Lonchura striata: one gene and its partner. The protein of the gene in region 1 binds, or shares a complex with, the protein of each later gene. Links are inferred from orthologs where the notes say so. Each region holds a gene or a part of one and is shown on either strand. Other genes may lie near its edges. The genes, in order: FLT3 and FLT3LG.

Region 1 (7,730 bases):
ACAACTGGCACCTGTGTGGAGAGTGTTGCTGTACTTTGCATGAAATTCAGGAAGCAAGAGGAAGGCAAAAGAGATTGATACCCCTGGGTCTTGTCCCACTTTGTAGTTAAGTGATAACTGTGGTGTGCTTTTTGACCCAGAAAGGAGGAAATACCACTTGTATGCATGCCTGCAGCCATGGCCAAGTGACAGAGTGTCACTCTTATGAGCTGTGCCAGAAAGGCAGAACCAAACATTATGAGATGAAAAATCGAGGTGGGGGAGGGAAACCTTGGGAAGGAAACATCTGCCAAGAGCTCTTTTTTTCCAGCCAAATCAGCTTGCAAGTGCCAAGCAACTCCCCCCTAACATTTGAACCATTCTTGAGAAAGCCATGTTTGCTATTGAGTGTGACACCGTCTCTTTGTATCAACCCAGAATTAACTTATTTATTAAATCATGTGGAAACAGATCCTTAAGTGCAGGCTGGCATCAGATAATGCAAATGAATAGCAATACTTTTTAAGGGAAAGAGTTACTGTAGCTGACTTTTTTTTTAAGGTCTAGGTGAGACAAGTTTTGTAGGTAGGAATCTTGTTTAACCAAATAGTTGGAAAAGGTAATGTGTGAACGCTGGGTTTTTTCCAACAGTACCAGCTGGGTCTATTAGAAGATACTATCTCTACTTACAAAACTGGCCTTAGTATTGCTGAAACAGATCAAAGGAAATACTTCTAAACAAAGTTTGCACATAATCCAAATTTACCTTTTAAAGTCTATCATTATAGTATATAATTAAGGAAAAAAACGGATGTGATCAGGGTCTACAGTAATATTAGAAAGAATTTAGCATTTATGAATTTTTCATAATTGCTAATAATTATTTTTTTTTTTTTTCAAATAAAGCCTAATACTTCAGGCTATATACCAGCTACTGTCTGAAGTCAGAGGGAGATTGCCACTCTTGAGGAGGTTATTCCACAAAATTATCTGCCTTTGAAATATTTGAGGATTACTAACATGGCAGTCAGGATATTGGACTGCATGCAGTGACCTGCTGTGGCAATACCCATGGGTCCCTAACTGGGCAGTTGTCTTTACTAAGAGTATCGAAGAAACCAGGTGTTGCTCCTAACCAGACTCCTGTTCATGTGCAAAAAGAAATTCATTTCAACTCAGTGAAGTTTTGAATTCAAATCAAGTCACAAATCAGGAGTTGACCCTGAAGTGCTCTTCCTAACACCTACATTAATAATGTATGCTAAACCTTATATTAATAATGTATGGGGGGAGGTCTTAGCCCTAAGCTAGAATTAAAATTAGTACGAGCACTAAAATACAAGTCTAGTTTCACTGTGCTGGTAATCCAATCGTATGGTTCAGCTAGAGAATTTCTTACCATGGTGCTGCTCCCACTGGCTTAGGCTTTATCTGCTTGTTGCAGTGAAGGCCAACCAGGATGGATAAGCTGGATAAAACACTTGATAACAGAAACCATTTTCTCATGGTGGAAAAAAGCCCTGCTTACTCATAGAATGCTTTGCTATTGTATACATGTGTATGATACATTAATTGAACCCTTTTGGACCCCAGTCCAGCATCTTTAGGAATAAGTTAATATGGCAGAACTTATAAATATACTTTGGCTTAGTCCAGTAGATGTGAACTCTCCTAGCTGGATCTTTCACAGAAGCTTTTACACTGAAAACCTGACATATATGTTAAGGCTTCTGATACCAGATCAGCTGAATCACCAGCAACCGATTTTCATTATTAAACAGTAGTTTCTCCTTGTCAGAATCACAAAAAAGCAAAATATCTTCAATGGAATCCTAGCAGCTACCAGTGCTGAGTGCATCAGATGGAAGAAAAAACAAAGCACTTGCCAATTTTAAATCAGAGGACAAGAATCCACTTGCCTAGTACATATGTAAGTGTTTAGACAGGTCTTTGTCAGGCTACCCTACCAACAGTGAGCGCTCAGTGGCTGGGATAGATGTCTGTTATTTTCAGAACAGAAGTACAAACTGTCTACCCCTGTTTTCTGAGGGCAAAACCTCTATATATGTGTAGGGTTGAAAGGGGTACAGGAAAGTACAAAACGCATAATTTGTAAAGATGTTGAACTGATTTGGTCTCCCAAACCAATCCCTAAGGAACACCACTTGTCACTGCTCTCCACTTGGACATGAAGCCATTGACCACAATTCCTTGAATTAACCATCCATCCAATTCCTTGTCCACCAATTGGCGCCTCTGTCAAATTCGTATCTGTCCAGTTTAGACACAAAGTTTCATGAAGGACAGTGGACAATTCTTTGCGTAAGTCCAGGTAAATTATGTCAGGCATTCTTCCCTCTCACCAAAGCTGTAACCCCATCATAGAAAGCCACCAGATTTGCCAGGTGCCATTTGCCCTTAGTGAAGTCATGCTGACTGTCACCAGTCACCACCTTATTTTCTATGTGCCTTCTTATAGTTTCTAGGGGAATTTGCTCCAAGATCTTGACAGACAGCAAAACTGACTACACTGCTCTGTAGTTCCTTAGGTTTTTTTTTTTTTCCCTAAAGATGGTAAAGGATTGGGGTATCTGGTAAGGGAGTGAAATGGCTGGGGCTGTTTAGCCTGTAGAAGAGAAGGCTTGGGGGGAGCCTTATCAATGTGTATAAATATCTGATGGGGGAGCCCAACTCATTTCAGTGACAGAACCACCTGCAATGTGCACAAACTGTAAAAGAGGAAGTTCACTCTGAATATCAAGAAACATTTTTATACTGTGAGGTTGTTTAAGTGCTGAATAGATTGCCAGGAAAAGTTGTGGACTCTCCATCTCTGTTGGTATTTAAAACTGTACTGGATGTGCCCCGGGGCAGCCTGTGCTAGCTGATCATGTTTTGAGTATAGCACTGGACTAGGCAATCTTCAGAGGTGCCTTGATACCTCATTCATGCTTAGGGTCTGTGTACCAGTGTGGGCAGTGGAAAAAAAAGGGGCAACCTACCAGCCAAGAAAGCTTGTTGTCAGCATGGTATTTTCCTGTTTGCATCAATTTCTTTAAAGCCTATGGAATCCTATGCTTCTTTTTCTCATTTTTGCATCCTTGCAAATATGTACCTCCCTAATTTTCATATAATTTCAGCTCCTTCCTCTGCACTGCAAAACACACAAACTTGTGTTGAGCACCACAGTACAATGGTACTGACTCATTCAGTGTGTCTAAGGCAGTCTTGTGAGAGATCATACAGTCATATCATGAACAATGCTGGCCTCTGTGCCCCATTGCCTCTGCAGTTGCCTTCAGGATGTTTTATGTGTCTTCTTTTAGCTATGGTATGTCTGTCTAGTTCTGATTAATCTACTTTTTTTTTTTTTATTTCCCTAATGCAGAAGGCAGATATCAATAAAAAAATCTAAATATAGTCTCTGAGATGTTTCTGAGAACACTTTACCAATACTGAGTTTATTTGTTTAGGGATTCTTTTTATCCAGGTTCTGAACAATTGCAGAATCATTGCTCAGCCCTTGGCAAGTAAAAATAACAACTGAATGAATAAAAAATACCATTTTATATATAAAATACAACAGCCAAGCAAATAATAAAAATCCCCCAGTCTGTCCTGGGGAATCATAGAGGGGAAGCTCAAGCTTAATCCTTAGAACTGGGACTGATTTGTGCTTGGTGACTGTGATGCACAGCTGTGCAAGGCAGGGAGATCTGTCTGCCCCTCTGCAATGTCCTGTTCTGGTACAAATCAGTGGGGCTTGCTGGCCCCAGCAAGTTCTCCTACACCTGGAGCAGTTCCACCTCTTACACACCAACAACCTGGAGCCGATGAGGAGGCAGCTCCTGAAGCACTATGCTCCAAGGAAGGTGGCAAGCAGGGACAGGCTAAGGGCAGAGGGATGCTGCCTCTACAGGTTTGCATTTCAGCCTGGAGGCCTTTGTTTTCATCCCCTAGACAAGTAATCTGTGTAACAGCTTCAGAACAGCTGTGGCTTGCTTTGAACCTTCCTGCAAACAGTGCTAGTTCCCTGTTCCCCCTGGTATAAGCACAGCCCCATGCCACAGGCCCACTCCCTGCCTTGGTGGCAGCCCCCAGGATCTTGGAGGTGACCGCAGCAGGTCCTCTCTCACCAGCAGAGCAGAGGCTCACCAAGCATGGGAAACCTCCGTCGGCCCACCACGACAGATGTGGTGGGGTATTCCCATGGTGTTGCACGAACTTAATTTGGATTTTTTTTTTTGAGCTCTTCAGCTTGGCAAAACACTTGCTCTTCCCCTCATCAGGACTTGTAGAAATTATGCTAACTGCCAGTGTGTGAAAGCAGAAATTGTAACTGCTTCAAAAATAAGAGTTGAAGTGAGACAGCACAAATTTACAGGAGAAAATATGTCTTAGTAAGCATGAGCAAAGGACTTGAGACTGAGCAGCTGAAGTGGAGGCAGCTGCTCAGCTTGGTGGAGGCATCCTGTGACAGAAGGAAGATGCTCCCCGACCCCCAGAGAGGCCCCTCTTCTCCACGTCCCACAGCCGTTTCCTTGTGGCTCAGGTCTCGAGCCCTCTCATTTGAAGAAGTGGTTTCACTCTGGGCAGTGACATGCACCCTTAAGGCAACCACCTGCAGGCTCAGTTTCACTTGTGGGGCCAGGGCACTGCAGGGCGCCACCAGCAATGACAGCGAGTTGGCCCCACAGCTGCTCCACTAGAGCTCCATTTCATCTCGCAGGTGAGGTCTTCTCATCACACTCCTCAGGCCCTTTCATCTCCATTCCCCACTCTCACTGCACCCCTTCACATCTTTCCTTTCTCCTTTGATTTCTTCTTCTCTTGAATCTTTTATTTTCTGTCTCACCTTTCTTCTCTCTTCTGGAGATGCTCTTCTTTCTCCCATCACCCTAATCTCTCCCAGCCCAGCCCAGCTTTTTCTCTTACTGCATCTGACACATTTTATTCTCAAGGCAAAAAGTATTTAAATTACTGATTTTTTTTTTGTTCTCTTTCTTCTGATGTAAATGTATTTCCTGCTGTTAGTGCTAGCTTGACCTGAGCACTTTAAATAATATACCTGCAATTTCCCACATAAATAATCTATGAATCAGATACCTTAGTAGAGTGAAATATAATGATGTATCATTATCTTTTCAGGTTTTGTTGTTTTTGTTTAATGATCTAAATTGAAGAAAACATGATATTAATATATAGAAAGTACTCTTTGCTTACTGTTAGAGTGAAGTGTTTTGGAATTTAAAGCTTGATATCCTCTACTGAAAATCAGCCCAGCAATTAGCTGTTAAGAAAAAAGGAAATAGCATTTGCTTCCATCTCAAATGCCTGAAACTGTTTTTCTCTAAAATTAATGGCTTGTTCCTATCTAAAATGATCTTGCTGATTCAAAATCCAGGACTGGGTGCATGTTTTTCTCCTGATATAGTTCTAGTACATACCTGAGAAAGTTTTTTAACAACCTGTGGTCCATTTTCAGCTCCATATACAGAGATAATAATACTTACTTCAAAGAGAAATTGTTAGATATTATTCAGTTATGGTTGAAAGTCTACATGAGCTATTTGAAGAGAAGGTGGAGTAAAAATGAAAATTAATACTTTATGATCTTGTGCTTTGCATGATTGCTGATACTACTAAGCAAACCCTGTCAAGGAGGGATTTCTGTGTTTTCTTCTTTGACTGAGTTTTGCTATTTTGCAGGCTGCCTAACAAAACAAATAAAAATTACTAGCATCTGAAATGTAATGGTGCCCAAAGACCTGTCAGTGTGGGTAAGAGACATTTGTGCAGAGAGGCAAAAAGGTGTGAGAGCCCCAAGATATGATTATTCTCTAGGAGGACTGCTGTTCTTTCTGCTGAGATATTATTTAGTCAAGGCAAGGTGCACAGGGAGGCAGTGTTTCTTCTCATAAGGCTGGCTATTATAGGAGAAAAAGTGCTTTTGGACATACAAAGCAGTTAGGATCTGAAGCATCAGAGACAGACTTAACAGCAAAAATCCTGAGAACTGCTAGTTCCATATATGTCTCTAACAGATCACTCTTAAAAACAATTTTGATGTAAATAATGTGAAGCATTCAATAAATTATATACAATCTCTTAAAAATACCCGTGTCCCCTTTGAGAATCTGTTTTCTGATTGAGATAATATTGAGTAATAAATTGTGCAGACAACAGATGGTATCCATATGATGAACCAGTGTCATCAGAAATGGCAGCACTTAACCAGCAAAGGAAAGCTAAAGAATAATAACACCTGGAGGAAAATCTCCACAGTATCTTTAGACTTAAGGCAGCAGGTCAGTCTTAAAATTACAGGCTCAGAACTGCAAAAGTTTCAAGAAAGAACAAGCATCTTGCCTGTGTTATTTGTGAATAAATGCTCCCCAGCAGCAAGAAATTTAATCCCAAGAACTTCAGAAAACAATATACACAATACTATATATGTAAATACACCTATATACATTAAAAACACTATTCCAGTTTCTCATCTTACATTCTTCTGGTCATCCCAAACAAGAGTTTGTGGCTAAAGGGAATGTTATCTAGCATACAATTAGCCTTGCATTAGTGGATGGGGCAGGGATGGGGCCTGGGAACAGATGCAGTAGTAGTTTCGTGTTTTACAAATTGAAGAATTTTGTAAAAAGAAACATTCAGTGACCTTTCTCATCAGAGAAAGTTTTCCACTGACAACCACTCCTGCATCCTTTTTTTTAGTTGCACCCCTTTCTTACTGAGAGATGTTCATAAAACCCAGTTTCAGGGCACCTGAGAGAAATGAAGATATGAGAAGCTGCCTAAGATCTCCCTGTGGCTGGCAAATGAGAGGAAACATATATGAGCAAGGACTGCAAACTCAGATTCCAACAAGGTCCAGATTAGATTATGGTGTGTCTGACTGCACAAAAATTATAGAGTAGTACTGTTGAAAATTCCCTCACAGAACATATAAGTGTCCATTAAATTCCTATGACAGAGATCGTGGAAAATATGAGGTGGGCCAGCATGTTTCTTTTAGAGGAGAACCCAGAAATGTGTGGGACCCAGCCACCTGCAGGATCTGTTAAACTCACAGAAAATTGGATTTCTCTCCAACAAAACAGCTGACAAACATTCCAGAGCAAGTTAAGGCACTGAGCCCTGCCACTGGCAGGAAGGTGAAATCAATGAGCACCCCAGGGGGAACCAAGTTTGATCTTGTCTCTTTCCCAAAACATGCAAAAACTTGGGTGCAAGCTGGTTTTGAGTATTGGATAAGGCCAGTACATTGTCTGTTCACTCAGGGAAACTGTTGTGCCCAGCAGACCACATATTCATGGTCATCCATCACCATATATTTCATGGATCAGAAGATAAGGTATCACTTCTGAAGATTCCCGAAGGTGAAAGGACTGTGCAGGAAAATAGTTGTTTTCCGATGAAGTAAATGCAACTTAAAACTCTGGGTGTTTTGTGTCTTTTGAGGTTTGGGGCCATTTGCTTTTCCCTTTCTTCAGAAAATTCCTCTGGTTATCCATATTTCAATGTACTGAGAAGCTGGAAGATGCCCAGAGTGCAGCCCAACTTCCAGGGCTGCCCCACATCTCTGCCCAGTGTTGGGTGGATGCTGCTGTTGTGGCTGCTCAGCAGAGGAAGGTTTGTCAGCAAAGCAGAGCTGTGGGCATCCTGTCCTGCTGCAGGAGCCCCTCCTATAATGACCCCCAAAATAATATAGCATGGAGCACCTCCTGGTCACAGGC
Region 2 (7,280 bases), on another chromosome or scaffold:
GGTGGCCACTCCCTATGTGGGGGTCAAGGGCCGAGGGTGACAATCCCTTCTCCCCCCCAGGAATTGCGTCTGGAGACGACGCGGCTGCGGCAGCAGCTGGGCCAGATGCGGGACGCCTGGGCCATGTATGTGGGGGACACATGGGCAGGGGACATCCTCAGGATGCCCCGGAGCCCTCACCTCAGCATCCTCACCCTCCTCTGCCTTCCATAGGCGCCCGTGGTGCCCGAGCAGCCAGCCAGACATCCAGGCCATGGCAGCGGTGAGCCAGGTAAGAATGGGGTCAGGGGGGACCCTGCAGGGTCCCCTCAGCCACTGACCCAGAGGCTCTGCCCAGGAGACAGCAGACAAGGAGGAGGAGGAGGACAGAGGGATGGCACTGTCAGGAGGAGGAGGCCTGCTGTGGAGCAGTGAGGAGGTGGCCAAGGCAGTGACCCCACAGGCACCACTGTCACCGTGGACACCACTGTCACCATGGGCTCTGGCGCTGCTGGCACTGCTGGCCCTGCTCTACTTCTTGCCCTGCCAGTGGCCCCAGCTCCAGCTGCACTACCGGAACCCCCCGCCCCTGTGAGACCCCCAGTAAAGGCCAGTTGCGCAATTCTGTGTCCACCCCACTCTCGACCAGTTCCCCCAAACACTCATCCAGTCCACCCAGTCCTCCCAGAGCAGGGTCAGAGTCAGGGTGTCAACATCAGCTTTATGGGCACTGCACGGGGCCAGGCTGGGCCCCCTCATCTCTCCGTCGCTCTGGGAGATCCCGGTGTAGCTCCCGAGGGCTTCCAGCAGGGAACTGGGGGGTCCCCGTCTCTCACCAGTGGCTCAGGCCAGCCTGGGCAGGGGCAGAGGGTGAGGACCTGATGATCCAGGGGCCTCTCCTGGCCCCCCTCAGGATATTCCCAGTGATAACAGTATCCAGGAGCTCTCCCAGTACCTGTGTCTGTCCCCAATTACCACTCGGCCACTCAGGTTGCATCCTGCTCCCATGTCGGGGGTCTCTGTGAGGGCTGGAGGGGGCTGAGGGGAATGACCTCCCAGCGCTCCCCAGTGCTTCCAATGTTGTCAGTCCTCCTCCCAGTGACCCCAAGACAGCCCCCAATGCTCCCAATGTCCCCATGACAGCCAGCATCCACAGTGTCCCCAGTGCACACACCATCCCCAGTGCCCCTCATGCCCTCACCACCCGCTGTGTCCCCAGGAACGCCATCCTCCCGGGTGTCCCCAGTGCCCGTCAGTGCCCCCAGTGTCCCCACCTGGGCACAGGGTCTCCTCCACAGTACCCAGACCACCGCCACCAAGACCAGGACACCCCCAACTCCCCCCAGCAGCACCAGTCCATGTCCAGCAGGGCTGGCGGCTCCCTGCCTGGCCCCCAAGGTCCCCTCGTGCCGCACTGCTGGGCTGGTCAGCGCCGGGCCTGGGGGAAGACAGGGGTCAGCAGCTGCCCCAGGGGGGGTTACGGGGGTCTCTCAGGGGTCCTGAGGGGTACCTGGGTGGCAGCGCAAGCGGGCACAGCCGGGGAAGTGGGGGGGTCTCCCTTGCAGCCCCCCCAGGTGCTGCATGAGCGTCTCCAGTAGCTGCGACACATTCACCATCTCCAGCTGGACACAGCGCTGGGGGTCCTGGGGAGATGTTGTAGGAGCCCCCCCGGGGGACCCAGACCCCTTCTGAACCACCCTGGGAAATCCCAGGAATGCCCCAGAGCTCCTGCACCCCCACAAGGCTCCCAGAGTTACCCTAGACACCTCAGGGAACCCCCTGAGCCCTGTGGGGTCCCCAGAGCCCCTCAGGCCCCCAGACTCATCTTGGCTGCCCCAGGACCACCCCGTAACGGTGCACACCGAGCCTCCCAACTCCCCCTCCTTCCAGGACCCCCGGAGCCCCCCGGGGACCCCCACCCACCTGGATGTGACACTCGGCCACGAAGTGGAGCTGGGCAAGGAGGGTCCTGAGCAGGGGGGCCAAATCCTTCCCCGCCACCCCCAACATTCGCTGCAGAGCCAGTGCCCCAAAGTGAAGCCCCCAGAGATCAGAGCAGGCGCCGTCCTGGGGAGGCCAGGGCAGTTCAGGGTTTGGAGGGACAGGGGTCAGGGGTCAGAGGTGTCCGGGGGTGCAGGAACAGGGAGGGATTTGGGGGAGGACACGTGGGATTTGGGGGATTCTCGCTCACCGGCTCCAGGTTGCTGGGCATCGCCACAGGGTAGTCGAGGAGCAGCCAGGGGGTCTGTGGGAGGGGTCAGGGGGTCCCCAAAAGCAGCCCAGAGGGCTGAGGGGGGCGCTCAGGGCGTCCCCAACGACCCTTTGGGGGTGAAGGGGTGCAGTCAGGGGGTTTTCGGGACCCAGGGTGGGGCCTTCCCTGGGGAATGAGGGAGTTCGGGGGAAGGGGGAGGGAGGCGCAGGGGAATCTTTTGGGTCTCAGGGGGATCTGGGAGGTCCCGTGAGGATCCCGGAGGTCAGGGGGCGTACTAGGGTGCGCGGGAGGATGTCCTGGGGGTGGGGGTCTGTCTCACCAGGTTGTTCAGGTGGGTGCTGAAGGTGCTGCTGATCGGGTTAAAGCCGAAGGAGCAGCAGCTGCTGGGGGTGGGCACGGCCAGGAGGAGCAGGAGCGGCACCTGGGAGTCACCGGGGGGGGCTCTGGACGTCCCAAGGGGCTCTCGCGGGGGTCCCAGAGGGGCGCAGGTCACATTGCGGGGCGGAGGGAGGGGGTCCCCACTTACCAGAGCAGAGCGGAGGGGGGGCAAGTCCATCGCGGTATGGAGCCGGGGACGGCGCACCGGAACCCCCGAGCGCTCCCGGAGCCACCCCCGGGACCCCCGCCGGGACCCCTCGGGCCGCGGCGGAGCCGCCGCCGAAACCGAAAGTGGGACCGAGCCGGGAGGGGGCCCAGGAAACCCGAGAGGGCAGCGGGACGTCCCGAGCCTCCCCCTCCCACGCCGCGGACCCCGGGCCGCCCCTTCCTCACCCCGGGGACTCCCCCTCTATTCCCACGGGAGCTCCGGCGCTCGGGACCCCCCGCCCTGCCCCGCAGAGCTTTGGGTGCGGCTGCCCCGAGCGTGGGAGGGGGGCCGGGGCGTCCGGGCACGTGCGGGGCGGGGCACCCCAAAACATCCCCCCCCCCTCCAGCGCGAGACCAACCCGGTCCCCCCCCTAAACAGAAACGTGACAGCGGCTGCGACTCGGAGCGGTTTATTGGGGTGGGGGTCGCGGGGCTGGGGGCACAGTGTGAGATCTGAAATCCCCGCAGATTTGGGAGGCTCTGGAGGGCATCTCAGGGAGCGCCCCCCGGAAGCCAAAGGCAGTGGGGGCGGGTGCAGCGCAGCTCCAGCTCCCGTTCGGCGCCGGGGGGAGGGTCCTGCCTCGGAGCCCCCACGAGTCCCGCCGGGACCCCCCAAACGCGGGGGACGCTCACGGCAGAGGCCCAGTCGCAGTCCTGGGTGGGCGGACATAAGAGGGGACAGATGGGGAGAGCTGGGGTGATGTCCCCCGCACCCCAAATCCCCACCACAGCAGCCGTCCCACGGCTTGAGACCCCCAGAACGTCACCAGTGTCAACCCTCCTTCCCCGGCGTGCCCTCCACTGTCCCCTTTCCCCGTGTCCCCACACTCTGCCCCCCACTGCCCCTCCACTCACCGCGTCCCCCCCGCACAGCCACAGCCCGTCCGGGTGATGTCGCGCCAGGCCAGATCCGGAGCCCCGGGAATTCCCGGGAAGCACCGTCAGGACACCCCCGGGAAGCCCGGCGGCCACCAGAGCCTGGGGACACAGAGGAAGAGGGGAGTGTCACCGAGCGGGGCGGCTTCCTGCAGCGAAGGAAGGGGACGTGGGGTGTCCTGGAGGGTTTCAGGGGGGCACATGAAGGGACACAGGAGGCACATGGGAGGTCCTGGGGGGAACATATGCGGGCTCCCGGGGGTCGCGGGGGAGGAACGGGGGGCATGGGGGTCACCCGGGGGGGTTCCTGGGGCATCACAGGTGTCACCGGGGGGGCAGCGGGGGGTCCCGCGGTTCCGCACCTTCCGAAGCCGCTCTGCGGAACCGGCGCCGCCAGGGGGCGCCACGACCACCAGGGCGTTGCCGAGCGCGAGCGCCGGGAGGAGGAGCTGCAGCGCCAGTGGGCGTGGCCAGCCCCAGGCCACGCCCAGCACTCCGAGCGGCCGCCTCGCCAGCAGCGCCCGCCCCCCGGGCACGTCCTGCAGCGGGATTGGCCACGCCCAGTCATAGGCCACGCCCCCTCTTGCATCACCCACTCTCCTCCCGCCCCTTGACCACGCCCACCTGCACGGCCCCGCCCCCGCGCTCCAGGCGCGCCGCCCAGCGCAGCAGCGCCCCCTGCAGGCTCCCGTCCGCGCCGCCGCCGTCCGCGGGGGTCCCGGGTGCCGCCGCCAGCGCCGCCGCCGCGCCCCGCAGCACCCGGGCCCGCGACGCTCCCGGCAGCCGCCCCCACCTGCGGGAGCCGAGGGCATTGGGGACCGACGCCTCCTCCCAAGGGGGTCGGGGGACACCCCTGGAGGAGCCGCCCACCCACCCTCGCACTCACCCCGGGGCGGCCCCACGGGCGGCGGCCACGGCATGAGCCAGCTCGGGATCGCCGGGGTCATCCACGGCCACCAGTGGGCTGCGACAGGGACGGGAGACAGGGAATCAAAGGGCATCGCTGTGGGAGGGGCACCGGGGGGTCACCGGGACCCCTTTGAGAGAGACAATCGGGGTCCTGAGAGGTGCACAGGACCCTCCGGGGGGGACAGGATGGGGCTGGGACCACCCCGGGAGGGAAGAAGGGGGTGCTGAGGGTGTTTGACTGGGGTCCCAATGGAACTCGGTCTTGGAGTTCTTGTCCTAGGACCCCCTAATTTGGAGTCTCCATCCTGGAGAGGGGTCCCTGTCCCATCAGGGGGTACCTGAGCAGCTCATCCACCTTGGGGGCCTGTTCCCAGGGGGGGCACCCAAATTCTCGCAGCGCCTGGAGGGAGTCCGGGGGGGGCAGAGCCCATCTGCAACAGTTGCACAGGAACCCCAAAACCCACCCCACTCCCCCCTGAAAAACTCAGAACCCACCCCAGGAGACCTCCACATCCCTCCAGCTTCTCCAGGACACCCCCGACCCCCCTGGACCCCTCCCAAACCACCCAGGACTCCCAGAAGAGCCCCCCCTTGGCAGCCCCCACCTCATCCGGGTCAGTGTCCGCAGCCCCCCCGGCGCAGCCCCCGTTGGGGTCCAGCAGGTCCAGGGCGTTGAGCCACACCAGCCCCTGGGGCAGCCTGGAGAGGGGTCAGTGCTCAGCGCCCAGCGCTCGCTCCTGGGCCCAGGGCTCAGGGGGCTGCTGGTCACCTGTCCGCTGTGTCCAAGGCCATGGTGATGTCCTGGGCCCAGACGGCAGCCGCCGCGGTCTGGGGTAGCGCCGAAGCCAAGGCCACGGCCTCCGTGGGGCTGCGCACGGGCAGCAGCACCAGCAGCGGCCCGGGGGCCTGGCGGGGCAGGGCACGCTCAGGGCAGCCCCAAAAGGCGCCCCTGGACGCCCCCCACCCCAGGGCGCCCCGGGGCACCCACCGGCTCCCGCAGACAGCGTGAGGTCGGGGCCACCCCCGAGATAAGCGTCAGGGGGTAGAAGCGATGCTCCTGCTCCGGCAACGGTGGCAGCGGCACCTGGAAAACCTAGGCAGAAAACAACAGGGGTCCCAACAAGGTGGGGACCCTCAGAGTGCCACCCAGGGTACCCCCACTCTGACCCCGGGGGACCCCAAATGGCCCCACAGCCAGTCCCAACATCCAGGAGCACCCAAACCCACCCCTGGGAACCTCCGGATTTCACCCCAGGAGACAGCAATGTCCAGGAAGTCTCAACCTTGACCCCCAAACACCACGTGCCCCTCCCCACCCTCCCAACCCTTTTGTGCTGCCCCGATGTCCCCACAGCCACCCCACCCGGCCCCCTTTGCGCACCCCCTCACCTGAGCCCCCTCCTGCAGCGCCTCCTGCACCACCCCCTCCGGCGGGCAGGTCCCAGGGGGCAGCGGCCCCACCTCCGTTTTGGGGTCTGTGGGGTCCCCGAGCTGCAGCCCCCCGAGGCGGGCCCGGAGCCGCTGCTCCAGCGCTGCCGCCACCGCGTCCTGTGCCAGCACCACGCACCCCCCAGCCGGGAACTGGGGACACGCAGGAGGCACCGGGGGATCAGGGACCCCCTGAAAAACTGACACACCTCCCCCATGGGAAACCCAGAAACCTCCTAAAAAGCCCCACCAAACATGCCAAAAAAACCCCCCTGAAACCTCCCCAAAAGGCCCCCCCAAAAAAACCCTCAAGAAACTACCAAACCTCCATAAAAACCTCTGAAACCTCCCCAAAAGACCCCCCCAAGAAAACTCCTAAGAAACTGCCGAACATCCACAAAAACCCCTGAAACCTCCCCAAAAAAACTCCTTAGAAACTGCCAAATCTCCACAAAAACCCCTGAAACTTCCCCAAAAGGCCCCCCCAAAAAAACCCCTGAGAAACCTCCACAAAAAACCCTGAAACCTTCCCAAAAAGCCCCCCCAAGAAAACTCCTTAGAAACCACCAAACCTCCACAAAAACCCCTGAACCTCTCCCAGAAAGACCTAAAAACCCCCCAGAACTCCCCGAGCCCCCTGGGACCCCACCAGCGCCGGGGGCGCGGCGGCACTGGCGACGACGGCGGCAGCAGCGCTGTCCAGGTCGGCCGAGTCCAGGACGACGACGACGACACGGCCCCCTCGGGGACCCCCCAGGCGCGGCCCCCGGCACGGGGACCCCCAAACCAGGGCCGGCAGCTCCTCCTGGGGGCACAGACAGTGCGTGGGGACCCCCAAATTGGGGAGGGGGGTGAGAGGAGCCCCAGCTCCCCCCAGCCGTGGGGCTGGGACGTGGCCGTACCTGGGGCACCCCGAGGAAGGTGACGGAGGCGATTTCGGGGTGGGCGCGCAGGGCCTGGCACAGCTCCAGGGGTCCCGCCAGGACGTTGAGGACCCCGGGGGGCAGCGCTGCCCCCTCCCTGCTCAGCTCCCCCAGCAGCAGCAGCGGCGGCGCTGCGGCCGCTGGGCACAGCACCAGAGCCGTGTTCCCTGGAGGCACCCCAAAACTGCTGGGACCTCCACAGGGACACCTCAAACCTGCTGGGACCCCCCAAAACTGCTGGGACCCCCCACAGGGACACCTCAAAACTGCTGGGACCCCCCAAAACTGCTGGGACCCCCATAGGGAATCCCAAAACTGCTGGGACCTCCACAGGGAACCCCAAAACTGCTGGGACTCCCCACAGGGAT

Evidence for each region.
Region 2: the proteins of FLT3 (region 1) and FLT3LG are in contact, whole or in part, in a crystal structure (PDB 7QDP), measured with the Homo sapiens proteins. The link is inferred for Lonchura striata from reciprocal best matches to the Homo sapiens genes FLT3 and FLT3LG. Residues at the interface, in NP_004110.2 of Homo sapiens: Asp180, His279, Gly280, Phe281, Gly282, Met300, Ser301, Thr302, Tyr303, Asn306, Arg307, Met309, Arg311, Ser333; in NP_001191431.1 of Homo sapiens: His34, Ser35, Pro36, Ile37, Ser38, Ser39, Asp40, Lys44, Lys87, Glu99, Asn102, Thr103, Glu104, His106, Phe107.

What each region holds. Positions count from the first base shown.
Region 1 is NC_134604.1:68,999,988-69,007,717, forward strand, and holds the start of FLT3 (receptor-type tyrosine-protein kinase FLT3), read left to right. Parts: upstream 1-4,578; 5' UTR 4,579-4,653; coding exon 4,654-4,708; intron 4,709-7,730. UniProt on the Homo sapiens protein: Tyrosine-protein kinase that acts as a cell-surface receptor for the cytokine FLT3LG and regulates differentiation, proliferation and survival of hematopoietic progenitor cells and of dendritic cells.
Region 2 is NC_134640.1:2,936,391-2,943,670, reverse strand, and holds FLT3LG (fms-related tyrosine kinase 3 ligand), read right to left. Parts: upstream 2,892-7,280; 5' UTR 2,748-2,891; coding exon 2,718-2,747; intron 2,613-2,717; coding exon 2,511-2,612; intron 2,225-2,510; coding exon 2,171-2,224; intron 2,047-2,170; coding exon 1,903-2,046; intron 1,623-1,902; coding exon 1,490-1,622; intron 1,418-1,489; coding exon 966-1,417; 3' UTR 935-965; intron 833-934; 3' UTR 681-832; downstream 1-680. Other genes in the region: ALDH16A1 (aldehyde dehydrogenase family 16 member A1), read right to left, coding at 3,269-3,430, 3,632-3,754, 4,015-4,191, 4,277-4,445, 4,539-4,616, 4,900-4,961, 5,167-5,260, 5,331-5,467 and 4 more. UniProt on the Homo sapiens protein: Stimulates the proliferation of early hematopoietic cells by activating FLT3. Synergizes well with a number of other colony stimulating factors and interleukins. Required for the development of B cells, and dendritic cells (DCs).